Linked DNA regions of Styela clava. Each later gene encodes a partner of the first gene's protein in a complex. Links are inferred from orthologs where the notes say so. Each region holds a gene or a part of one and is shown in the gene's direction. Other genes may lie near its edges.

Region 1 (6,984 bases):
TCTCAACAAATACTATCCCCCGGATTATGATCCTTCATTGATACCCAAGCTCAAGTTAGCTAAAGATAGACAATATGTAATACGTGTTATGGCACCTTTTCATATGCGGTGTAAGACTTGTGGAAATTACATTTACAAAGGAACAAAATTTAATTCAAGAAAAGAAACTGTCCAAGATGATGATTATCTTGGTTTGAGAATTTTTCGATTTTATATCAAATGCACAAAATGTGTTGCTGAAATAACATTCAAAACTGATCCTGAGAATACAGATTATGTCATTGAACATGGTGCCACTCGAAATTTTGAGGCAGAAAAACTTCTCCAAAAACAAGAGAAAGAAATCGAGAAACAAAGGGAAGAAGATGAAGGAAATCCAATGAAACTGCTTGAAATGAGAACAAGGGACTCAAAAAGAGAAATGGAGAGAATGGAAAATCTTGAAGAATTAAGAGATCTCAATCAACGACATGCTAAGGTAGGATTTTCAATATGATGTTCGATGACATTGAAGAATTTGTTACTTCATAAGATTGTGGTTATTCCATATTGTATATTATATTTGTATCTTGTAAATTTTATTTGACTCCCAGTTTTTAAATAAATAGCATACAATGAGGTGTTTATAAAATTTCATGTTTGTCGAGGGCTAGAATGTTAAAAAACAAATTAAATATTTATAATAATTTAAAATTGATTTCTGGATTAATTTAGAATGTCCCATTCGAAAAATTATTATTTTGAGCAATTTTAGTATCACAGATTTTGAAGTCACAAAGTAAAACTTTACATTACTATTTAGATTTGTCCATCCCTGTGCAATGAGGAGAGTGAATATTTCTAATTTATATGAATTTCTTGGTGTATCTAGGTCAATTACGAAGGAATGCTACAGAGCTATCAAGAAACAGTGGAAGAAAAAAAAAAGAGAGAAGCAGAAGAAGATGAGGAAGAAATGAAGACTATTTTTGGGAGTAACAAAATAAGACGACTGAATGATAGTGATGATGAAGATGACAAATCTGATGTTAAGAATATTGTGAAAGAAGAAATTAATGCCCCTTCCGATTTATTATTGTCATCAGAAGAAACAAAAATTACTAATAAAAGCACAAAAAGTATTTCTTCTGTTCCTTCTAATAAGGATACTATAAAGAAAAAGGCCCAGCTTTTGGGTATTGTAGTAAAAAAGTCGATCGAAAAATTCCCAAAAATAGATAATTTTAATCATCAATCTGAGGATAAATCAGAATTAACCAAAACAATGTCAGTGATTAAAACTGAGAAAACTCTAAAAGATACTGTACTAGCCAAACCGGCTGGGCTTAGTTTGCTCGGAGCCTATGGAAGTGATGATAGTAACACATCCAGCGATGATGATTAGAATGTATTTTTTCAACTATGAATTCAATCATACCTGCATATTCCTGCACAAATTTGTAAATAAGAATTATGCATCCAGGCTGACAATAAGTTTATACAAACATTGGGTCGTGATTCAAGTTAAATCCATTACTTTTTTACTATGAAACCATATGATACGCTTTAGCGTAGGTTAATGCAATGTTAATTGTAATTTATATCAGGGACTTCTAACGAGTTTTTTCACTCACATTTGTTTTTTATATTCTTCTCGACAAGAGTCAAGGTTGCTTAGGACTGGAAGTAGGACTGAGATGAAATTTATATTGACTTTTTTAGCATTAAGTCATGATTTAAACCAGACTATGACCCTTTTTGCTTACTATCAAACATCCTATTTTTCTAAATGTGTGAAGGTTCATTTTTGTCCGCTAATGCAAAAGACCACATTTGTTGGTTTTTGACAATCGGCATTTTCATTTTGCTTGTTATAAATATGTGCTGCTTTGTAAATACAGATTTTTGAAATAGTGTTTTGTGCGTTGCCACAAATACTACAAGTCAGTCCATTTGACATATTTGGTTGAACATAGATAACAATTCAAGGGTAATAGTCTATCACTTATTATTAGGATGTGCACCTTTCTTCTGAGTGTGATATTCAATCCAGGTCCTTTTATTTGTAGCTATCGAGATCAATATTTAAAAAATTCTCATTTTGCAGTCTGTAAGAAATAATTTATTGCCTATAATAATAGTCAATATTGTTATTTTTCAGGATTGTAATTTCTGGGTTCTCTATTTAAAGAGAAGATGTCAGATAACGAGGATATCGATGATCCACAGGAGGCATTGTCTGCCAGGCATAAATTGGAGAAAAAAGAATTGCAAGGGAAAATTCAATCCTTGAAAAAGGGAGTTCCGAAAGGAGATAAGAAGAAAAACAAAGAGATGAAAGCACAAATTGCAATTCTTGAAAGTGAACTTTATGAGAAACATGATAAAGAAATTGCTGAATTGACAGAAAAATTGGAGCTAATGAATAGTGAGGATATGACCGATACTTCAAAGGCTACTAATGAAAATGATGAACCTGGCAGATCAGAACCTTCTCAACAAAGAGTTAGTAAAGCGCAAAAGAAGAGAGAAAAAAAAGCTTTGAAAGTGAAAGAACAAGCTGAAATTGCTGCACAAGCTGAAAAGGACTATGTTAACACACAAAGATATGCAGAAGAGGAAAAAATCAAGACCATATTAACAAAAATGAGTCTAAAAGTGAAGCCCATGATACCTGATGGTAATTGTCTATATTATGCAGTTGTAGATCAGCTGAAGATGAATTTGATGATGTTACATTCACCGAAAGAATTAAGAACATTGACATCAACATTTATGCTTTCTCATGAAGACGATTTTTCCCCTTTTCTAACTAGTTCTGATACAGGCGATTGTTATTCTCCTGAGGAATTCAAACAGTATTGCAAAGATGTTGCAGAGACTACAGCTTGGGGTGGTCAATTGGAACTGCGAGCTTTGTCCCATATCTTACAGACTTCAATTCATGTGATACAAGCAGACATGCCCACTGTAAAAATTGGTGAGGAATATAAAGGAAATCCACTAATACTAACATATCATAGACATGAGCTGGGGCTGGGCGAGCACTATAATTCAGTTCAACCATCAAAACCTGATTCAAATGGACTATCATAGCATATTGTTGTTAATTTTTTGTGCATGACGGTTTATAGCCAGATACAAAGTCTCACACATGTCTATTCAACGGACGAATTGGAATATGTTTTATAATGCAGTTTTCTTCAAACTTTTTTATCACGATCCAATTGGCATGGCAAAATTTCTTCACGACCCTCAGTAACTATAATAAAAAAAATGTAAAATTTAATGATACCGAAAATATTAAAATAAAGTACCGGTAATAAAATTTATAATGCCTTTAATGAGATCGATGTGCTTGCATATTCTCGCACAAAAAGTCGAATCTTGCTTGGGTCTCAATACTGGTTCCAAATTTGATCGATATTTCGTTTTAATGTAAGTTGTCAGTACTTGATAATAATGAAAAATACCGCTACTTCCATTGAGCCCTTCCGTAACCCATCGGGGGTCGGGACCCTCAATTTGAAGAGCCCTTATATATTTCATTATAGATCCTTATCATGAGTAGTGAAATTTTAAATGAGATTGTGCGTAACAAGCATTATTGCTTTCTGATTCAATTTAAACTTCAGTCAGTAATTGAGTTTACTGATACTGATGTGGATCTAGTCTATAATTGCAGAGTACTTTTATTTTGAAGTTATATATTGCTGCTTTCATCAGCAATCATGTTGCTTAAATAGATACTGATAAGATTGTATACATCCAGATAGTATGATTCTAAAATCCAATTGTGAGATTTAATATAAGTTAATGGAGATTTTGAAATTTTTTTCAATTCATCCACAACATTTGAATTGAATAAAGAATTTTTAAACATTAATAAAGCTTTTGATTCACTAAATCAGTGTCGTAATGGCATAATCATGTTTTTTTTGTTGTTTTTACTGAATGGGCATGAACAGTAGTGCGTGAAACTTTATCTAGATGCAAGAATCTGAGTTCAAATGTTGAAGGAAATATTTCTACCGGAATGTTGCATCCGTTCACAATCAGGAATATTGATTGGTGCTTCAAATGATGACGACACTGTATTATATGTTGTTGCCGTTGTACACTTTCCCGTTACACCAAAGAGTTTGAATGCTTACCTTTCTAAATATGAAAAACTGCATGATACTGTCAAACTACGTCCCTTGGGAACTTGGATTTCTAATGAATCCAAGGAGAAACATGAATTTGAACATATACTACCAAAACTCTTTGGACAAAAGACATGGATTTCCATAAAGATGTCAAAAAACAGTGATGATGAAACCGTTTTTACAGCTGAGGATCTTGAAATACAAAATATCAGTGCATCATCGATATTATTAACAAATCAATATGTAAAAACTAATGCAGATGTTATGGCAGTAATTTACAACCAGAAAGACATCTGGGATGGTGAACTTTGCTCAGATTCGTTTTTGAATGTACACAATTCCAATGGTTCTATTGAAAATTTGTTTGTCTTGATTTCTGCCTGCAAAAATGGGATTCTTTCATATGAATATGGAATAAATTCAAATGATGGCGTTCATGTAACACACTGCTGCATGCAAAGGGAACTCAGCATTATAATTTACCTGCTAACAATATTTATCACTGTGCTACTTGGCTCTATACATCTCCCTTTGTACTACTTCAAGAAAATATATTCAGGTATTTACAAGTCAAATACCTGTATCCAACGTATATGGCAGAGTATAACTGAGTTGTCTAGCTTACTTTCTCATGCAGAAAGGAGGTTTTCGCAATTTGAAGAGAGCATTATGCACTTGTTTGGAAGTCGAAAAAAAGTATTTGATTCTCACAATAAGTATGAAGATAAAGACATACTTAGTACAATATTCGTGGACATGATTTTTGGCGTGGGTTTGTTAGGGAGTCTGTATTATTTTGATTTTCTGCCTTCCACAAGAACTACAAAACAAGCCTTTTTACCTTATGTGGAGTCGATAGCGAATCAGGTGAGAAAGATTTAAAACCAATAACGTATAAATCATTGTAGACTTTTTGAACTTCTGTCCCGACGTTCAAAAACATAAAACATTTGAATTAATTATAGTGAAATTATTTTATACTGGCAATAGCATCAGATTTGTATGACAACTTTATATATTTTATATCTCTGTTGGAAAATGAATTAAATTGAAATATAATGTTTTGTATGTTTAATTTTAGGTTGAAGAATTGATTGAATGGTTAATGGGGTTTCCAGCCGGCTTGAAATTGAACCATCCACTAAACCAATTCTTGGGTAAGAGGCGGTGTGGCATTTTTGGTAGCACATATGATCATTTGCTAAAATAACAATAAATATAACCTTATACTTCATAATATTAACAAAATGTCAATACTGGTCACTTTCTGGTGCGTTAGTAAAATAATTTTTATTGTTTATGTATGAAGATGTTTTTTATTCTAATTTTAAAAAAAATCTGGAACAATTAGGTTTTTTTTTTTTCAGGTCATTTTTTCCTCTATCATGTTCGATTGTGGCTGGAATATTCGAAAATGATGATGGAGTTCATTCCTTATCTGATCACATATTGTTTGATGACATCTTGTTTGGGATTGTCATTTCTCCTTTCTATCATCGCTGATGCAGTTTCGACTTTGAGCTTTCATGTTTATTGTTTTTATGTCTATGCTGGACGTCTGTATGGTCTTCAAGTGAGTAATATTTACTTTCATAAAAAAAACTTTAGAAACTGTTGGGTTTGATTATTCGTTAAGGATTGCTCAAACTTTTCCGTCATTTTAAAGTAATATCTGATGGGAGCTTTGTATGGGAGAACCTTTTTCAATATTTCGCTTTCAGTAACGGTATCGAGTATGAGGCTTTTATGGCGCTTCAGAAGTAGGTACCGGTATGTGTACCAATATAGAGCTAACTAATTTTGTTCGCCTACTTTACATCAAGTTGTGTACAACTGATTATTATGGGCAGGGGGATTTTCACTTGGCTAGCACAGACAGTCCCCGAACTTTTAATGGAACTAAAATAAGGAAAATCGGCATAAAATTATGGCCTAACCCTAACTGGGTACACATACTACGGGAGTACCGCTTTAAATTGCTACTTGCTAATTTTCAGGTGGCCGGTCTGATGTCACTTTGGAGGCTTTTTAGAGGGAAAAAATGGAATCCACTAAGGAAAAGGGTTGATTCATTAGAAGAATCTGGACAACGAGCTGACCAACTGTTTGCCGGAACTCTTTTATTTACAGTATTACTCTTTCTATTACCCACAACAGCTCTGTACTACGGAATATTTATGTTGTTGCGTGTTGCTGTGCTAGCTATTCAGGTTTGTTATTTTGTTTGTATCTAAATTTGATTCCCATAGCATTTTTCCCCGTTAGTCCCGTAGTATGTGTACCAGGTTAGGGTTGGTTAGGCCATGATTTTATTCCGACTTTCCTTATTTTAGTTCTATTACGAATTCGGGGACTGTTTTGTGTTTAGGCTTCCGTCCCGTTACACAATTTGATGAAAAGTAGGCGAACAAAACTAGTCACCTCCATATTGGTACACATACTTCTAGAGAGCCTTTTTTCTTTATCTCGTGACCAGTAAGAAGCTGCTATTTTCAATATAGCATTTGAGATTGTTCAACTGCAATGGGATTCAAACCCACAGGATGTGCATTTGTAGACGTTAACTTCAAAAGTACTATAATGCCTGCTCAAATACCTAATAATGCTTGTAGTAAATGATAATTGCATGCTTGCTAAAAGATCAGACAAGAAATCCTTGGGCCCCTGTCCACTGACAAGGACAAATGAATCTATAAACGCTTATCTTTATTTTCAGGTTGCTATCAGTGGAGTAGTTTTCATAATATCAGATTTTCCATGGTATTCGATGTTTGTTAGAATCTTCCAACCTCAGAAATTTATCAAATCTATGAAATGTTCCACGCTCCTGCGCAATGGAGATAAACTGAAGTATAAA
Region 2 (7,500 bases), on another chromosome or scaffold:
GGAAATATTGATGAGATTTGATCCCCTGTCGCATAGCGTGACTTGTCACGGCCTAATTAATTTTTACGATAGGCACACTAATATTTTGCTGAGTGGGATTTTACAGCAAACTTTGTGGGACAACACTAAAAGGCTGAAGAAAGAAACGGACGAAGTGGCGGAAAAACGGAAGTTGAAGTGTTCCCAAAGGTGAAAAATTGAAAAACACTAAAAGGCTGAACACTAAAACGAAGAAGTGGAAGAAATTTCTTCCGAGGTGGCTGAAGTCACTAAAAAGCTGAACACTAAAAGGAAGAAGTGGATGAAATTTCCTCCGACGGATAGTGAAGAAAATTTAATATATTAGTTTAATATTTATGAGACAATGTCCTCGTGGATTCGTTTTATGTTAATTTTTTATATGGTATTCTCAGTTCGAGCCTGGCGAATATTGAAGGCCATGACATTCTCGTTATATTGTTTTTAATTTTGATGTAATGTGCAAGCAAATTGCTATATATATATACTCATTTCTAGCTGTTACTGCCGTATAATGAATTTGTTGCGCCACAATGGGTGGGTTACGGCGAGGCATATTTTGCAAATAGATATCTTGTTTTTCAAGACGCGTGAAGCTGATTTTGTTATCAAATCAATTTTTCCAGTCAACAAACCTTGTAATTCATAATATGTTTGTGGCCCACCTCAAAATGGCTCTGAGGCTTACCAGTTGGCCATGGCACATTGGTTAAGAACCAGTGGTCTAACAGGACTTCAATTTGACTAATACATCATTATTTCAAGTCTTCGTGCGTGAACTGCTTGCAAAATTTTAAAAATAGATATTAAGTTTAAGGAATGAAATACGGAATCAAAAATTAATTATATTCGGGCACAATACCACGGCAATCTATGTACATAGATGTGTGGTCAACTGCGCGATTGTTATTTATTTTTTTATTCCTATTTTCGTATATACAAAATACAACGGCGATCCATGGACTTAAAAATGTGTGGTAAACTGCCCGATTATAATTAATTCTTGATTCATATTTTCGTATTTATAAAATAATAAAAGATATATATGCGGACATTGAAGTGCCCGAATATAATTAATTTTTCATTCGTGTTTACGTACTCACGAAAAAATTGTCGCCAATCAGAAATATAATTTATACTTTATCCCGCTTTTTGGCAAATAATTTGGATAATAGTTGGTATTCAAACTTTTACTAGGATGATTTTGTGTTGCGCAAAATGTTCAAATCCATGACCGATAGCACTATTTTAAATGCTTGCCGTATTAATTTAATTCTGATAACGTAACTCATGGTATATGAAAATATATAGCAGTAATCTGCAAACATGAAATGCATGGTAGACAACGTGCTGTTGATGACAGTTATTCCATTGTTTATTGTATGCAAATTCCTTTATATAGGCTACTATAGATAAGCCTCAATTACTTTATTTTATTTTCGAATGTATTCGAAATAGTGAACTATTCGGTATTGACCAACCATCCCCTTAGGACTGAAGCAATTTGATGCAACTCAATTGTGAAAATAAGCGCAGGAAACAATTCTATTGTACCATCTTAAACAGTGCTGCAACAGTAACAGCATTGGTTCCCGCAGTCCCACCCCAGAATATGTGACTGTGGTATTTCACTTATTGTTATATTAAATTAAGGCTGGACTCATTACAGATTTTTCATCTCTAAAATATTAGTACAATAATTTGTGACTCTGGGTTATACATAAAGGAAAACTTTGTACACACAGATCTCTGTCATCTCTGTGATATATGGGCTCATTATTGCGATAGAGCTTGCTAAACAAGGAGATACCGAGCATATATTCATGCTAGCAGCATAGTGTAATAAGACAAAGACAGTTTAATTGCATCGGGATTACTATAAATAAGAAATGCTTTCAGGAATTTGCTCGAACACAAAAAAGTAATTAAACCATTTAAAATAAACCTCCAACCGTAAACCTCCAACCGAAAACTGTTCTACCACGTGTTCCCTCATTTCGTTTACCGCTACTCAAATGGAGGTACAACAAATGGGAATAAAATAGCATAAATATAAATGTCAGGATAAAAAAACATGATCGTCAATTACATGCCCGGCGAATGAACTTGTTCAGTAATAGTTCTCTTCAAATATATACGCGAAATATTTCACTCTCAACGGAGTTTAAATTAAATTTCAATCAAAATTAAATGTTTTCTAGAAGTCGGTATCTGATCGTTTATCAATTCATGTCAAGGCGTACCATAACTTAGTCGCAGAGAAGGTGTGCTGTTGCAAATTATTAACAAAATCGCAACGAAATTTCGGGTATACGATCCATTTAAATTTGCGTGTGATAGAAACTTAGGTCATTCAGTGGAAAACTCAACTGAGAGATTGAAGGAAATTAATTACCCACACAGCACGTCAGCATCTCGAGTGATGATCAGGGTGTGTTGCGCTGAACTTGAAAATGAACGAAGGCAGATCAATAGAAGTAAATAACGAAAAATTCATTTACATTCCCGTCTGGCAATTGGTGTTATTTGGAGTGTTTGTTCTTCTTCGCTAAACGGCTCTCTTTCTTTCGAATCGCGTAAATCGGATTCGAAATGAATTGCGATTTGAATCGATTCAATTCATAAATCTAAAAGTGGCATGCCTACTCATCAGTCCGCTTTCAGGGTCTTCATCCAATCTCACTTCCGTCGGGATATGTTTTGGCTATTTAACTCTACTAATGTTCGGTATTTTAGTGACTTCAACCGCCTCAAAATCGATAGGACAAAATATCATCTACCGTAGCCTACTTCTTCCGTTTAGTGTTTAGCTTTTTAGTGACCTCAGCCACCTCACCACCTGTCGAAAGAAATTCCATCCACTTCTTCCTGTTAGTGTTCAGCTTTTCAGTGACCTTCGCCACCTCATTATTCGTCGAAAGAAATTTCATCCACTTCTTCCTTTTAGTGTTCATGTTTTTAGTGACTTCAACCATCTCATTATTCTTCGGAAGAAATTTCATCCACTTCTTCTTTTTAGTGTTCATCTTGTTAGTGACTTCAACCACCTCATTATTCGTCGGAAGAGTCGTTGGTCGGAAGAAATGTCATCCACTTCTTCCTTTTAGTGTTCAGCTTTTTAGTGACTTCAACCACCTCATTATTCGTCGGAAGAAATTTCAACCATTTCTTCCTTTTAGTGTTCAGCTTTTTAGTAACTTCAACCACCTCATTATTCGTCGGAGGAAATTTCAACCACCTCTTCCTTTCAGTATTCATCTTTTTAGTGACTTCAACCGCTTCATTATTCGTCGGGAGAAATTTCATCCACTTCTTCCTTTTAGTTTTCATCATTTTAGTGACTTCAACCACCTCATTATCCGTCGGAAGAAATTTCATCCACTTCTTCCTGTTAGTGTTCAGCTTTTCAGTGACCTCCGCCACCTCATTATTCGTCGAAAGAAATTTCATCCACTTCTTCTGGCAACCATTACAAAAATATCAATATGGTGTGGCAGATAATTTTTTTTTTCTTTTCTAGTATTTATTTATTTTTTATTTTTTGTTTACTGTATAGTATACCCTAAATTTATCGCGTTTTATTCTTACTTAAATAACTTCTCACTGGTTGTGTGTGTGTGTGGCTGGTGGGTGCATGTGAGCGTGTGTGAAATAACTTAATAATTTTAGGTGATTAAACACGTACCACTTCCTCTTGGCAAAACCTTCCATCTTATATTTTGTACGTTATAAACCTTATCTAAGGTTTTGTTTGCTCCCCTGATTTCATAATCAGTTTTTATTTATTTGTTTTTATCTGTCAAATGTATTGTTATGCTGATTATGGAGTCGAAATAAACTTATACTTATATTCTTCCTTTCAGTGTTCATGTTTTTAGTGACTTCAACCACCTCATTATTCGTCGAAAGAAATTTCATCCACTTCTTCCTTTTAGTGTTCATGTTTTTAGTGACTTCAACCATCTCATCATTCGTCGGAAAAAATTTCATCCACTTCTTCCTTTTAGTGTTCAGCTTTTTAGTGACTTCAACCACCTCATTATTCGTCGGAAGAAATTTCAACCATTTCTTCCTTTCAGTGTTCATCATTTTAGTGACTTCAACCGCTTCATTATTCGTCGGAAGAAATTTCATCCACTTCTTCCTTTTAGTGTTCATCATTTTAGTGACTTCAACCACCTCATTATCCGTCGGAAGAAATTTCATCCACTTCTTCCTTTTAGTGTTCAGCTTTGCTTTTTAGTGACTTCAGACACCTCACCACCCGTCGGAAGAAATTTCATCCACTTCCTCCTTTTAGTGTTCAGCCTTTTAGTGTTTGGGAACACCTCAACTTCCGTTTTTCCTCCACCTCATCCGTTTCTTCTTTCAGCCTTTTAGTGTTGTCCAACTTTGTGTAGTATTTATTATTAATTACATATATTGCTGCCGTCGTCGGTTTTTAGGTGCTTTTGCCTCTTTTATTTATCAGTTCATGCCTCAACCAAGCCCAGGTCCATCTCCGGAGAGAGCGGCGTATGGATTTGTCCTTTATCTAGCAAGCTACATTTTATTCGGTGAGTGAGTCAGAGTTATTTTTCAGTCCTGAGATTGCATAACTGCTGAACTGGAAAGGGTGATCAAAAGAGATGTAAACAAAAATATTTGAATCAGTGAATGAGCATTGCTAATTTAAAAAACCTAGTGCTTCTTTGTATCATGTACCGGTATTACGATATTGAAGGTTGCTAAATGACAATACAATTTTCATGTCTGAGGATTTTATAGTGTATTCTTAATAGCCACAGTTTGTTTTCTTGGTTGGGCAAATGTAATAATCTGACTGTAATAATCTGACTTCCCACAATATTCACATGTGTATGGTTTTAATGTAGTATTGTTTCTAGTATGAGATTTTATATATGTGATTTATGTAATGGACGCTTTCCACATTTCTTAAAGTGTAACGCTCATCTTTACAAGTATTTGGGAAATACTATGACAATTAAAAGCAATTCTCTCCAGATGTCTGTTCAGTATGAATTTGAAAATGTCTTTCATTTCCATAGGATTTGCCTTTTGCTCTCCTCTCTTACGCCAATACAGTAATTGGCTTAAGACTTTTTTCTAACAATGTCTCATATATCTGTATATGCTAATTTAAAGAAATAATTTAGCAAAGGCCCCTTGACATTTCATATATCTGTGTGGTTTTTCAAAGATATGAACTGCTAGCTTTTGAATCTCTAATGAGCAAATGACCATCGTTTACTTGGTTGTTGTTTTTTGTCCATGTTATCAAGTGAATATACCACAAAGAAATAATAATGACAATGATGTATATTTTTCAGCACTGTTTGTGATATGGGCATATGTTCCTGATGAAGTCCTTCACAGTATTGGCCTAACTTATCTTCCTACCAAGTAAGGATGAAAATTAAAATATATTTGCTCATTAAACTTTTTAAAATGTAGGAAGTCAAAACAAGTCTTTATGAAAATACTTTGAACCTAGTAACATCTCGCTTGTGACTCATTCCTATATTTCATGTTGTGATCAACCTGTTTTTTTGTAGTTGTAGCTGAGGAGAAAGTTTGAATGTGTATGTCCTAAAATCAAACCTTTTGTACGGAGCAGGTTGTTCAAATGTTAATTGGGAACATGTATCCATCCCTCTTTTTGAGTTGTCATTATGTAGTATAAGCTAAGTATAGTTAGACTCTGGTTCATCTAATTGCCAGGCGCTGAAAATAGATGTATAAGTTTATACTGCTGTTTTTAGGATTTCTTTGGCCTGGGAAGATATGATACTTGTATAATTCGTATTATGTTATTTTTCTCTCATAGTTATACACAAATTTTAAAAATATATGCGAGTACAAAAATGCTTTTTGTATAAGAATTTTTGATCAGGACCATCAAAATATAAAAAAAAGTACTCTATATGGTACTCGGATGATGCATAGAGTCATTTTGAGATAGATGAACATAATAATATGCAATATTGCCCAATGCATTTATTCATTCTTCTTATTGATTTATTACAACCCGATTTTTTCAGAGCTTGGGCAATAGTATTACCAATCCTTGGTTGCATCGGTGCAGTGTCTATTCCTGTTGTATATTTCATCATCAACATACTTCATACTCAAGCATTGGAAGAAGAAATTGAAAGTAAATATTATTTTACCTGTTTTCTGACTTATATTTCCAAGAATAGCTTTAGAAAAATAATCTGGTTTTAGTGGTTTATAGAAATTGAAGCTTAACATTATCCCGATATATATTGTTTTAATGTTTGATTGTATTTTAATACTCTTATTTATTATTAGTTATCATTTTATAGGTAAAATTAGAAGACTGATCGACCTGTTTTTTTTTTCAAATTAGTCATAGCTTGAATGTTTCATTCGATAAACACTATCTTATATTGATTAGTTTGTCATATCATGATTGCCTAGTGCAACAAGCAATACAGCATGATTTAAATCATGATTTGGTTTAACGTTTAGAAAGTATTCGAATATAGGAAACTTGTTTTAGTAATCCATTTTAATTTTTTCATCAATTTTAATAAATTGTTTGATATATTGTAATATTTTTATATTTATGTATATTCATTTTTATTTATTCTAGTACACTCTAAATCAAATATCCCAGAACCAACAATACAAAACTTTGACTTGAGTTCAGGATCTGTTCCACCAATTGTTGAACTGGATCTGGCAACTGTTTGTCGCCATTTGAATCTAGGCAAGGATAAAGTAAGATGGGATTGTTTTGTTTTACTCAGCATTTTTAGTTTAGAAATCATGTCTTATTTTATACTTCTTAAACAAGGTTTCTGTACTTGAATGCTGCATCATATCAAAGGAATAAAGTGTGTCGAAATAGGCAAAAATGGAATGCATTGAAAAGGGTTGTTTTAAGTAGTTCAATTTCCAAATTTCATCACTGATCTTGTCTGGCAGATCAGAAGAAATATGTATTTTATTGTTAAAGAATACACCACAAAAACTTTATGATTTTTGCCAAATACTTCTTCTTATAATGTTATTACAAGCTTCTGGAATTGCTGTGTACACTTGGTCAACAAAAGTAAATCCATGCATTTACTAGGTTTCTTCTTCTACTGTATTCAGCTGTCACCAGCTAGTTAAAGAAATAATATCAGCCACGCAAGTGTAAAACAATTTTTTCATTTTGTTTTTCCTAGAAAAATAATTGAAAATTATGAGTGAATCTAAAGAAGTGAAGTTACTGAATGTTGATTTTGAAAAGCCTTCTCAATTTACTGGTAGAAGTGTGGAGGATGGTTTACCAGTTTCAGTTCCTTTGCATGATTTGGAAGATTTACTTTCATGGAAACCTGACGATGCAGAAGATAGTGGGCAGATATTCTCTGTAGCTACAGTTCCTTATCTTGGGAAAAATATTCCAACTGGATCAACAAAAACCCTTGTATGTCATGACATGGCTGGTGGATATTTGGATGACAGGTA
Region 3 (6,204 bases), on another chromosome or scaffold:
ATAGAAAGGAATTGACGTTAACGATACCGGTACAAATAATTCGAATTTAGACTAATTAGTATTGGTTTTACATGCGATATGTCTGCCATCAATGGGAATCAGTGGGAAACGAACGCATTCGCCTTCAGTAAGTAGGCTAGCGCTGCGCTACAAAGAAACAACAGTAACGAGAACATGTTTGTGTATTATGCTGGAAAAGCGGGACGGAATGCTTTTCGCTTCGTTTACCAACTTTAAATCGCTTGGTGATGTCACAAAATATGTTCCAGAATTATTTAGTTTTGTCGCAATGTCTATCTGGCACTTCTCTCACATAACATTATAACATAGCATGTTCTTAAACGTAATGGCTAATGCTATCCCACATTTAGCTATATATATATAGTTTGATATCTGGTAACAATAATTAGCTTATTCTTGGAATATCGAATTCTCTGGGAGCCATATGTCGTCACCAAAAGAGCCATATATGGCTCGCGAGCCATGGGTTCCCGACAACTGATATAGATAGTAAAAGTAATATTATTTAAAACAAGAGAGCGCAAAAATACAAGAACCGAAAGTCAAATGACTACATGGGCTGAATTTTATTTTAAAGAATTGTAACATGTCATGTGACAGTCTGCTTGTGAATTGCATAAACATGCTGAATCGAGGGTAATAAGATGAGCTTCGTAAGATTTAAAAGAGAAAATAAAAGCCATTTAAGAACTTCTTTAAGTACCGAAAATTTAAAATCCTTTAGTTCAATTATCAGCAAAGTGATATTTTTAAAAGTACATAAAAATATCTCAAGGTCAAGAAGCAACTCAAACCTCAAGTGTTAATTAGGGCTGGGCACTACGAATCGAATATTCAAATCGGTTCAGAGCAAAATTTCGAATCGCCGCCATTTTGCTTTTTCCCGCCAATGGTTAAGGTGAATTACCCAATTTTTTTATTATTGAAGCCCTATTTTTTCAATACAATTCTGACATGTGACTATTATGTGTAGTGAGTTATTAATAAATAAGTGTCTTTCTTCATGGTGTGTGAAGTTGTGAACGTTCCGCAATCTGTCTTAGTGATTTGTTATGTTTTCGGTAATACATTTGTTGACGACCAATTACAATAAAAAAGTAACATATAATCACATATCTCCCTTTGACTCCCAAGTATTCGAGATTCGATTCAAAAAAAATATTCGACTGATTCTGAAATCATCAGGTATTCCAAAATGCCCAGCCCTAGTGTTATTTTCAACAACAAATTGTAGCTTAACAATGTTATCAATAGTATAATTTACCGCTTGTATATGACAGTTATAAATATGATGAATTATAAAATATTGATCAGGAAACTAACTAACTTGACATGCTGTTTGTAATTCTTGTGCTGTCATGTTATCAATGCCTTCTCTTTGAATAAGAGTGTCATCAGCATGCAACCTATTCAACTTCATTTGCAATAAAAATCGAAGTAGATTGTTACTTCCCACAGCAGGTACTTGGATGAGCCTGAAAATTGAATGAATAATAAATAGATGATTCCATTATCAAATTCAGTCTTCCTTGAAATTAATTGAAAATATCCAAATGTTTGTTTATTGAAGCTCAAATTTTGTAGCCAAATGGATCAATATATCAAAATATATTTTTCTTGTATTCTGAAATTCAATTTTAGTGAGTCGAATACAAAAATGCATTATTTACTTAGTTTGAACGAAATAATATTTTTGAAGCCGAGGAAATCGCTTATAAAACAAAATAATAATTTGCAACTTTTACAAAGATCAAACAACTTGCATTTCAATTGTATCACTATTCCAATTTAGCGAAATCTTTCCATTTATATTTTTTTCCTATAGAATTTAAACCGACATCTTTTTTAAACAATTTTTGGTTCTGATTTTAGCAATAATATTTTGCAAAACTACTTCAATTAAAAGACTGGTCTCAACAACCTTTCAGTCAATTTCTCAAAAATGCCAATAATGAGTAAAATTCAGCAATATTTATATACTATCACACACAAAATCGTATTACCTGCACAATGCAACAAGTTGAGGTCTGGTCATGCTGTCCAACGTCAATTCATCTTCAAACAATTTAGCATGTTTCAAAATTTCTTCATTTGTTGGCTCTTCATCAGTAGTTCGAATTTTTTGAAAAAAAGTGGCAAAATCTTCTGTGGCCTGATTTTCTTTTGACATCTTTTTGCTTCGCATAGCAATATCTTCTACCGTATCTTGCATAAACTTGGCCATTTGCAATTTAACAGACAGTTCTTTTCTTAATCGAGCTTCACGAGCTGTTTTATCCTCAAAAGTAGAAGGAAGAAGTCTTGGGAAGAGGCTGACCACCACTGGCAATGCAAATTCAGCAAACGGGATAATTATGAAAACACTAAAAGGAGCAAGCCGAAATATATCTGATACCGCTCTTTTGAATTGATTTCGTTCTCGCCGAACTACTGGTTTTCCGTTCAATATTTTCCACAGTGTTTTCCATGCAATTCTAATGTCCAATCCAAGAAGTCGAAAACCATGATAATAATGTTTCAACTCCGCTACAAATCTATCCCATAACGGTTTCTTTGGGGGAGTGGCTACTGAGCTAGATGTGGTTTCTGTCGCTGTAGGTTTTTTATCAGAAGAAAGATTTTTGTCCGCTTCAGTCTTTTTCAATTTAGCCTTCAATGTATCTTCTACTTTTGATTTATCAAAATTAACACTTGCAGCATGGATATTTCTTGAGATTGTGTGGTGTAGACCAATATTAGAATGGTGCCTCAAAAGGATGGGATAGGAAGAAGATATAGAGTCAACTTTGCATCTGTGGTTAGATGATGAAAATATATAAGAAGTGCAATCAGGTCTTCTCCTGCTGTAACTGAATGGATGTATCGAAAACCATCCCGATGCAGAATGTGTTGAATATTGGTGACATTGTTTAGGAATTCCATACAAGAACTGAACTTTTCTTTTATTGTTTAAAGTCAGTGAATAAATTCTTTGTAATTCTTTAGTGCCATGACGTAAATGAGACATGTTTTATCCAGTTGTTTCAGATGTTATAATAACGCACAGTGTCACAATATATTAGCATGATTCCTATAAGCGCTTGTTCTTAACTAATTTTAACTGAGTTGATAAATTAAAATTTTTATGCTAAAATATATTTCACTTATTTATTCAAATTAATGTAAAATAATACAGATAACAGTGCATTGCACAGCCAGACAGATTTTGACAAATTTTCCAAGGTGATTTTGGCCCAAACAATAAAATTTTGGTGGCCGATAAAAAAGGAAATTGTTTACATACCTGTCAAATAAAATAATTGTTCAGTATATGACAACATATATTTGTAGATAACAATCAAGAAGGTTAATTTCACATGAAGTAAAACTAATCATAATAGCCTATAAAAAACTTGGGTCAGTAACAGTAGGTCAAATAACAATAAGGTCCATTCCCAGTGCAGCAGTGCAGTGATGATTCAAAATCCCTTGCAATTTATAATAAGCCTTTGAAGTAGTTTTAAAATATTCATTAACATATAACTCTAACGTTATCAATTATTTTATGATGATGCCTACTTCTGTATTCGCGTTGTTGATAGAATAATAGAACCCCAAATCAACATTATCCTGTTGGCCAACGGAAAGCTTGGTTCTTCTTAATAATTTAATATTTATTATAGAGTGGTCAAATTTACTGATTTAATCAACAATTTAGATTATCGGCCATAGCCCACATCCATAATAGACTATATAACACCAATCAAGTTGTGTTATTCTGGTATTAAGCCTATTATGTTAGTAATATTACTTAGTGCAATACCGGTATACCGTACCTGCTGTGACGACCTTGACCTATGATTAACAATGTTATGCATGGCGATGATTAAATATCACCGTGCTACTACTGCTGCCGTATTATACAGGCAACATTGGTTAAATGAAAAAGGGCGCCTCAGACGAATTCAGGTAGGTACAGCGATAATTTGTAATGTGAGAAGCTTTTCACGGCCGGACAGCAAACCTGATGCTAAAGGTCAAACGCGATGACACATGACATCGCGTGGTGGCGTGTCTTGTTATTAATGGCGTGATTCAAATGGCACTGCCACTTGCGTTTCTCATCTAGAATCGTTGACGTTGAATACAAACGTATGCGGTAGAACTGGGAGTTACGGTAGTTGTTGAAGTTTGATGAAGCTTGAATACAAACATGAAACACTCTATTGCAATGGTTTGTGATTTTTTCTATCCTAATGTGGGAGGAGTGGAAAGTCATATATATCAACTGTCGCAATGCCTTATTGCAAGAGGACATAAAGTAATTATTATCACTCATTCTTATGGCAATAGAAAGGGAATACGTTACTTCACAAATTATCTTAAAGTTTATTATCTTCCATTTGTGGTCATGTATAACCAATGTATTTTACCTACATATTTTGCAACTATTCCCTTGATTCGAAGTGTTTTGTTACACGAGAGAATAACCATTTTACATGGACACTCTGCTTTTTCTGCATTAGCTATCGAAGCTATTCACCATGCACAAACATTGAGAATTAGGACTGTGTTCACAGATCACTCCCTCTTCGGTTTTGCTGATGGATCCTCCATTATCACAAATAAACTTTTAGAAATAACACTGACATACACAAATCATGTAATATGCGTCTCTCACACAAGCAAAGAAAATACTGTGTTACGTGCCGATATTGAGCCAAAAAAAGTATATGTTATTCCAAATGCTGTTGATGCAACAAAATTTACTCCAGCAACTGAGAATCAAGTCAAAGACAGGATAAGGATTGTGGTCATAAGTCGACTCGTGTATAGAAAAGGAATGGACCTCCTTGCCTCATTAATACCAATATTATGTTCTCGGCACAAAGATATTGATTTTGTAATTGGTGGCGATGGTCCCAAGCGTCTTCTTCTTGAGGAAACGAGAGAAAAATTCCAGCTGCATGAAAGATTAAAGTTTTTAGGTGCTGTTCCTCATACAGATGTGAGAGATGTGCTGACAACAGGGCATATTTTTCTAAACACATCCTTAACTGAAGCATTTTGTATAGCAATAATAGAAGCTGCATGTTGTGGATTGCAGGTTGTGAGCACGAAAGTTGGAGGAGTACCAGAAGTACTTCCTCACGATATGATAATTTTGAGAGAACCATCAGTATCTCATCTTATAGATGGTTTAGAAGTCGCAATTTTAAAACATCGAGAAGGAACTGAAATGGATCCTTATGAAATGTATAATCGAACATCGGTTTTATATACATGGCCCAAAGTTGCTGAAAGAACAGAAAAGGTTTATGATTCAATGGCAGAACAACCCTTACTTCCTCATCATGAACGATTATTACTGTTTAAAAAATGTGGTCCTGTCGTAGGAAGATGTTTTGTTGTAGTAGGATATGTTTCACTACTCATTTGTTGGCTTTTGGAATGGATGTTTCCTATCAATATAAAAACGACCCGAAACGTCTCAGATAATTTAAATAAAAAGTCATCAATGATGAATTAGTTTATATATCTGTTGTGATTTTGTTTTCCAAATTTTAATGTTTTTATTTATTTTTCTAAATTAAAAATCTCTTATTTTGACATCACAGTATGCTTTTGTGAATAGTTAAAGTTGCTCTCGCTTGATTTAATGATTCATTATATTCACTTTATAAGCAGTTCCTAATTGACTTTAAAATGGCAAGTCTGTATAAACTTGAAAATGGCAGCTGGTCCGATTTAACATATAGAGCAATGTGCATCATTATTAGGGACTGGATGTTTTTTGTTTTGTCAGTTTAATCCATACTTATCTTCTTGTGGCAAACTTCTTTGAATTGACCGGAACAGAATTGAATATCAATGTCAACAATGAGGTTTGGTTTCTGTATCAGGAGGTTTTCATCCAAAGTATTAGTAAATTGGGCACTCCAGAAGTGTGTGTACCAATATGGAGATAACTGATTTTGTTCGCCTACTTTACATCAAGTTGTGTAAATGGACTTGGCTAACGCAGACAGTCCCGAACTCGTAATAGGACTAAAATGAGGAAAATCGGGATAAAATTATGGCCTAACCCTAACCTGGTACACACACTATGGCAGTACTGTAAATTGTTAGTCCCCTGAGAAGCAGCATCATTGATATATAATGGTTGAGCTGTATAATTTGTCAATTCATTCCCCTGCTTGATAA
Region 4 (6,347 bases), on another chromosome or scaffold:
ATGAAGTTGTAGACAAACAGTTGATGTTTCAAAATATACCGTAGTCTATAGTCCATACTCATACTGTCAAAGGACATTTCAGACTGTGATATATCAAAATCTAGTGTAGATATAGTCTAGTAATGGTATGCAAACACTGCTGGACTGTAGAACATGCAATGAGCATATATACGCTCATTTAGTACATCAGATAAAATGCATTATGTATTCAAGGTATTAGTTAGTATTTAGGGGTATTTTTAAAATCATGCTGCTCCAAATATTATTTTCTTCCTTATTTTAGATACTGTACTACAAAAGAAAACGGCAATGTTCCACCAATCCGACCTAACGCAGGCTCTGATCCCTGCTGCTATCAGTGCTATAAAATGGATTAAACAAGAAGTCTTGAAGCTTAAAGGTATATGAGAATCATAATAGTTGCAAACAGCTTAGATGGGCTATTCATATTGAAATACTTTAGCACTTTTCTGCAATTGGAATTGCCCATCAAATTCATGTTGGAGACTTCATTGAGATTTTCAATTCATTTTTTTCCCTCGACTATGAAGATCTTTTGAGGTTAACGAGGTATTAATAAATAAAGCTGAGGAATTTGAAGAGGATATGAAGAATGTAAATGATACCAGGGCACGTCTATTTAACACTGTCAAACATAAGGATTATACTCTCCACCCAACAATGATTCACTGAAGAAGCATGTGGCCCTCAAATCAGTTCTTGAGTTGGCAAACTGCAAAGAAAAATAGTCAAAATAATTTATGAAAGTGTGCCAAAATCAACTTAAATTGCACAGATTTTTGTTTTTGTATTGACTGCAGAAATCACAGTACACCTATAGAGGAAAAGTCGATTTTTGAGATAGTGGATTTCGAAAACAATTCAGAAGAAAGTGAATTAGATATTACAGTTGATTTAATAAGTATCATACATTTGTTTTTTTTTTCGGACATTTGTTAGTGTCGTAGTCCTGTTTCTAGAAATATTATTGCCTTTGTTCAAATACATAACCACATAAACTAAAAAAAGATTAATTGTAAATTGTAATATTTCTGTTCACTATGTTATGTACATATTGTACATTCATTTAATTTTCTTGACTTTTGCGGTAAATTTCTAAGTGAGAAATAACTGATTTATTTGTGTTTTCGTGCTCACGATGTTAATTTGTGACTTCATTGCTTAAAAATAAATACGTTTGATACTTGATAGCTTCTATAAAATGGATGTAGCTTTTTATGCTGTTCTTGTTGTAAACTGCTTGTGGTTATTACATAAAATTTATTCTCAAATGTGAATCAGCGTTGTTGGTGTCGCTGCTTTCGAGGTCACTCCCGACTCCTGTCACACAATTAAAGTATTTTTTGTTGTTGGTTACATGTATGCCATATTTTTCGTAATCTACCTAATAAATTATGATTGACTGAGGAAGTCCGATTTTGGTCAGGCAAAACATTACAGGAATACATTTGTGTTAGTGTGCTGTAGGGCTCTCGAATTGTATAGTTCTTATGTATGCGTTGTAAACTTATGGTTATTGAATTTCCGGGAACCTCTTATATTCAATTTCGCACCAGGATTGTGGAACAAGCTGTAATGCGTTCATTATGTTCGTTTTCACACAAAACTGAAGAATTTATTTAGTTACCAGATGTGCGCTACGAAACTCATTTTCTGGGCGTTTTCATGGTTTCGTCTCGCGGCCCATATCCGTGGTAAGGATCTACAAGTGTTTAATAATTTACTTATACATTTTTCAACAACGTCTTAGCATAACTTAACTAATAATAACTAAACAGGGCTATGGAAAGCCTGCCCAACTCAGCGCAAGGTCGAGCAGAAATAACTAATATTCATCCGCTCGCTAACAGCTGGTTTAATTCAATTGTTACGTCATGCAGAAGTCATTGTTCAGTGCCGAAAATGTAGAGAATATAGGACAGATCGTAGCGCATATTTCTTGTAGTAAAAGCGTCTTTTCCGTAAAACGTGCAACTTTTGGAAGTGGGAACAAGGCAATATTTGTTACTAAATTTTTAGGGAACATTTTAAAATCATTTTCAGGTAGTTACCTGATGTGCGCTACGAAACTCACTTTCTAGGCGTTTTTCAGGGCCTCGGCTCGCGGTCTACTAGTGATATAATCACAACAAAACTACGATAACAAAATAAACGCAAGGTTTTCCCGATGAAGGGGCGCCGCGTGGGACCGTTCCCGAATTTTGTGCAGCGACGTCCAAAGTTCCAATATCTAATTTAGATTCAACAGGAATTTTTTGTTATCAGAGTACTGATATTGAACACAAAGTGCGACTTTGGACCATTTCGCTAAATATTCGATGCTGCTGTTAACACGTGCAGGAGGTGACTGGTCTTATTGAAGCGAGTGAAACCAAAACAACTGGTTAATATAAGCAGGGCCGGATCATGCCGCTTAGGAGCCCCAGGCACTTAATACTTTGGGCCCTATTTATATAAAATGATAATAATGAAAACTAGTGTTCCATGTTTTCTGAATATGTTTCAGTATTCACTACCACGGTACTAATTAAAGCTAAGTTATGATTAATCTACATGGTATTTTTTGAAAATAATTCTCTTGCCTACAAACATTTATAGAGAGGTGTAAGCTGGTACTTGAAAAAGAGAAAATAATCAAGTTATTAAACCGAGACAATATTGAGGTCTGAATCGTCTTACCAACTCGAATTACATTAAACACTGAGATAGCCAGTTCGTGAAAACTTCTGTGGTGCATCCTTTCTCGTGGTGACCTTATTTTGATCAATGTTTAGTCCAACCCTGAATATAGGTAAACAGACATAGCCGTACAGTACTTGCAAGATCTAGATACATAGGCGTAGTTAGTGGAATACTGCAAGCAACCAACAGTTGCGCGAACTACACGGAAAATATTTGATTGAGATCTACAGGTTTCAAAATGTAACCGTACTGCCGTAAATAGCTGATCACAAATAACACTTCATTATCGCTGTCGAATTCAAAATCCAATTTTTACATGTGATATGTCGATTAACAATTTATTTGAGCACATCTCTCGATCTTTGCTCAAACGTTCTCATCATACAACTTCTTGGGGACACTCAAATTTCAGACGGCATTTCGACAGCAAGAGGGGAACGCAGCATCTCGCCGCAGTATGGTTACCAGCATGTCGTGCTCGGAGTTGTTTTCTTATAGTACAACGAGTGGAAATGTCAGGTCGCATGAAAATCCATTTTTATTTCCCAACTTAGATTAGACTTTTTTAAAGGTGTTGCTGCTCGATGATACGACTGGTTTATTGCACTCCCCTGCACCACGAAACGACATTTTTAGTTTATTCTATAATCTGTAGGCGCAAATATTCAGTAAATGGTCAAATAAATTGTTTACTACTAATTATCATTTTTTTGTCGTAGGTACACAAATTTGCAAAAGAGCATTTAAGTCTATGCTTCCAAAAATAAACTAGCTAACAAGTTCCATACTCGACATGGATTGGTAACCGGACGAGAGGCCGTGGTCCGCCATATGATTGAGCCGTCTTATCGGCTCTCCTCTTCCCCAGGATAAATATGTAAATCCTATCCTTTCCAGTGATGGGGTGCCAAACAGAAAAAAAGGATGAAATCCAGAGGAAGAAGAAATTTGACGAGTCAGCGTTAACATAACCCAAATCGGGAATAGGAAGAGTTCATCAGGTAATTGATTTGAGCGTATTTGAATGGCGCGAAGCCTTAACCACTTGCGAGGGTGAGAAGTCTGGCAATCCCCTCGCGCATAATTATGACGATTGGGTTTGTAATGCGATGACAATTGTGTTTCTTTGCGGTAACCGCCAGACCCAAAAAAGTTGACGGATTTTTTTGTCAAAAGATTTGGGTGTCGCTTACGGTGTAAATAAGAAGCGATCGCCGGATCCGGATCTCGAGCATCATTCACCCCTAACATGTGTGGACTGTAGAGTTTTTGGTGTTTCGTGTTGGTGTTTGCGCCATCGCCCATCATGGTGAACCATCATAGAGCAAATTCGCTCAACTTTGTGGTTAGTCTGTGCCGCTGTATGACTAAACGAGTTCTATTTGTTTTAATCAACCGTTTTATCGCCGTTTATGCTGAGTATGGAGTTGAAATAAACTTATCTTATCGTCCACCATGTACGGTACCGGTATCTGAAACTGTAGAACAAATACCGGTACCTACCGTACCGGCTAACTAATCCATACCTACTGGTACCGGTACCGTCAGACCGTACGATACGATATTTTGTTTGTAATGGCCCGCCACTGGGCTATAAACAGATAAAAGAACAGGTTCCTCAGATAAATTTGTTCATAGATTGTCTTGTATGTGCTTATTATTACAGTACCGGTATTGAGCCATTGTTATTATAAATTTCAGTTTTAACCTATTCATAGAGTAATATTGATTTTGGCTGTTGATATAAGCGTGTTCAAGAATGACAACTAATCGCAAAAAATGGAGAAAAGTATTGTACGAAGTTCAAAATGTTCCAGACAATTATGTGGATGAGTCTTTCCTCACGGAAATGCGAAAGAACATCTACATCAGAAAATATGAATATTGGGATCTCGTTCGTCAAATTGAAGTCATTACTCAACAACTTTGTACAGTCAGCTGTTTAATCGTTAGCTGGTGGTTACTCGATGAAGGCCTATATACTCCATATACTATGTTAAAATGGCTGATGCCTGTTTCAGTAATAGGCTTCTGCGTGTATTTATATTTAACAACGAGCCAGGGTGAGAGATGGAAAGCGTTATTTAGTAATGCTAAAACAGCAGTTGTTGTATTGTGTTTAACTGATTTTTTATCTCCGATATTAAAAACGTTGACGCACACTATTAGTACTGATACGATATATGCAATGAGTGTTCTAATGATTTTAGGACATTTACTGTTTCATGACTATGGGTCTGATGCTGCGCCAATTTCTAGAGCTGTATCGTTAAATATGTCATTGTTTTCGTCAGTATGTCTTGCGTCTCGATTGGATTCTTCGGAGCATGTATTCGCTATTGTTATTTTAGCGTTATTTCTTTTTGGATTTTGGCCCATGTTACAAAGAACATTAAGGCGTGAAACTCCGTGGTTTATGGATCCCTTTACTGTTTTATTGAGTATAGCAACGTTTTTGTTACTACTTTTTATTCATTTGTATATAAGTCTCTTATTTCTACTTCTAATTGTTTTTGTTAATTTCATCTGTCCTCTATTGTTGATGTCTCTTCAAATTCATAAAAATAATATTTATGGACCTTGGGATGAAGCAGTAATTGACCCGGATAGTCCTCGGATATTTACGGAAAAGAAATCATTCAAAAAAGAATAGTTTGTCAGCTTCTTATTCTGTGATATTATAATTTTTGTTTTTTAAATATTTATTGAAATGAATTTGGTTGAAAAAGTTTCATTCAGAAAATTTTATCGATGTATAGTTTTTGATTGTACAAACTGTTTATGTATCGATTGTTCGAAAAGAAGTGTCACGTCTCTTTAATTAAGAATTGTTTCAAATGTGAAGATATGTTTATATTGTTCGGTTCATAGATTCCATTTGTATGTCTATATGCAAAAGAATTACTGTAGACATATTTGTTGTTTTTTCCAGGTTGCGTCACATAACCACTGACTTAGCTCTAGTCTGTTGAACAGACAAAAGGCCACAGTTTGCCATATGATTTGAGTCCCTGGGATAAATATGAAAAAGTGTATCATATGCTTGACTATTGGTTAATCTATATAAGAGAATTTTATTCAAGTTTTATGTTTTTAATTGTTTTTATTTGAATTGTATATTTTTATATAGTTGTTAGCAAATTAACTCAAAATGCCGATCTCGTGTCGATATTATAAGGATAAGTTTCCGGAGGTTGAAGATGTTGTCATGGTGAATGTTCGATCCATCGCAGAGATGGGAGCTTACGTTAAATTGCTTGAATACAATAACATTGAAGGAATGATATTGCTTAGTGAATTGTCGAGACGTCGTATTCGATCTATCAATAAGTTGATTCGTGTCGGTCGTGATGAATGTGTCGTTGTTATAAGAGTAGATAAAGAAAAAGGTAGGGAGTTTCGTGCGATTGTTAATAAATAAGATTCAATGAAATTTATGTATTTGCAAATTTCAATATCCGATTCAAAACGAAATAGGCGAAAATGTGTTCTTTTTGTTGTTTATCGTCTTATAGTACTGACATTTTGATTATCAACTTTTGTGTCTTATAGATAGAAAAGTTATATTTTTGAAGATCACGATTTGTCATAGTATTTAACAAAAATTGCTGGATTAGCATTATTGCAATGCTATTGTTGCCTTT

The links.
Region 2: phosphatidylinositol N-acetylglucosaminyltransferase subunit Q-like (region 1) and phosphatidylinositol N-acetylglucosaminyltransferase subunit P-like share a complex: the UniProt entries of both Homo sapiens proteins name them as parts of the glycosylphosphatidylinositol-N-acetylglucosaminyltransferase (GPI-GnT) complex. The link is inferred for Styela clava from reciprocal best matches to the Homo sapiens genes PIGQ and PIGP.
Region 3: phosphatidylinositol N-acetylglucosaminyltransferase subunit Q-like (region 1) and phosphatidylinositol N-acetylglucosaminyltransferase subunit A-like share a complex: the UniProt entries of both Homo sapiens proteins name them as parts of the glycosylphosphatidylinositol-N-acetylglucosaminyltransferase (GPI-GnT) complex. The link is inferred for Styela clava from reciprocal best matches to the Homo sapiens genes PIGQ and PIGA.
Region 4: phosphatidylinositol N-acetylglucosaminyltransferase subunit Q-like (region 1) and phosphatidylinositol N-acetylglucosaminyltransferase subunit C-like share a complex: the UniProt entries of both Homo sapiens proteins name them as parts of the glycosylphosphatidylinositol-N-acetylglucosaminyltransferase (GPI-GnT) complex. The link is inferred for Styela clava from reciprocal best matches to the Homo sapiens genes PIGQ and PIGC.

Annotation. Positions count from the first base shown.
Region 1 is NC_135255.1:3,220,391-3,227,374, forward strand, and holds the start of phosphatidylinositol N-acetylglucosaminyltransferase subunit Q-like, read left to right. Parts: upstream 1-3,984; 5' UTR 3,985-3,989; coding exon 3,990-4,994; intron 4,995-5,208; coding exon 5,209-5,284; intron 5,285-5,494; coding exon 5,495-5,700; intron 5,701-6,124; coding exon 6,125-6,337; intron 6,338-6,843; coding exon 6,844-6,984. Other genes in the region: splicing factor YJU2-like, read left to right, coding at 1-478, 872-1,384; deubiquitinase OTUD6B-like, read left to right, coding at 2,176-3,075. UniProt on the Homo sapiens protein: Part of the glycosylphosphatidylinositol-N-acetylglucosaminyltransferase (GPI-GnT) complex that catalyzes the transfer of N-acetylglucosamine from UDP-N-acetylglucosamine to phosphatidylinositol and participates in the first step of GPI biosynthesis.
Region 2 is NC_135253.1:15,186,954-15,194,453, reverse strand, and holds phosphatidylinositol N-acetylglucosaminyltransferase subunit P-like, read left to right. Parts: upstream 1-4,492; coding exon 4,493-4,574; intron 4,575-5,348; coding exon 5,349-5,421; intron 5,422-6,059; coding exon 6,060-6,172; intron 6,173-6,634; coding exon 6,635-6,762; intron 6,763-7,140; coding exon 7,141-7,158; downstream 7,159-7,500. Other genes in the region: cytosolic endo-beta-N-acetylglucosaminidase-like, read left to right, coding at 7,232-7,497. UniProt on the Homo sapiens protein: Part of the glycosylphosphatidylinositol-N-acetylglucosaminyltransferase (GPI-GnT) complex that catalyzes the transfer of N-acetylglucosamine from UDP-N-acetylglucosamine to phosphatidylinositol and participates in the first step of GPI biosynthesis.
Region 3 is NC_135252.1:4,508,935-4,515,138, forward strand, and holds phosphatidylinositol N-acetylglucosaminyltransferase subunit A-like, read left to right. Parts: upstream 1-4,020; 5' UTR 4,021-4,194; coding exon of another isoform or gene 4,195-4,213; coding exon 4,214-5,530; 3' UTR 5,531-5,688; downstream 5,689-6,204. Other genes in the region: mitochondrial proton/calcium exchanger protein-like, read right to left, coding at 1,349-1,496, 2,025-3,028. UniProt on the Homo sapiens protein: Catalytic subunit of the glycosylphosphatidylinositol-N-acetylglucosaminyltransferase (GPI-GnT) complex that catalyzes the transfer of N-acetylglucosamine from UDP-N-acetylglucosamine to phosphatidylinositol and participates in the first step of GPI biosynthesis.
Region 4 is NC_135250.1:6,447,782-6,454,128, forward strand, and holds phosphatidylinositol N-acetylglucosaminyltransferase subunit C-like, read left to right. Parts: upstream 1-4,362; 5' UTR 4,363-4,462; coding exon 4,463-5,356; 3' UTR 5,357-5,833; downstream 5,834-6,347. Other genes in the region: eukaryotic translation initiation factor 2 subunit 1-like, read left to right, coding at 5,855-6,092. UniProt on the Homo sapiens protein: Part of the glycosylphosphatidylinositol-N-acetylglucosaminyltransferase (GPI-GnT) complex that catalyzes the transfer of N-acetylglucosamine from UDP-N-acetylglucosamine to phosphatidylinositol and participates in the first step of GPI biosynthesis.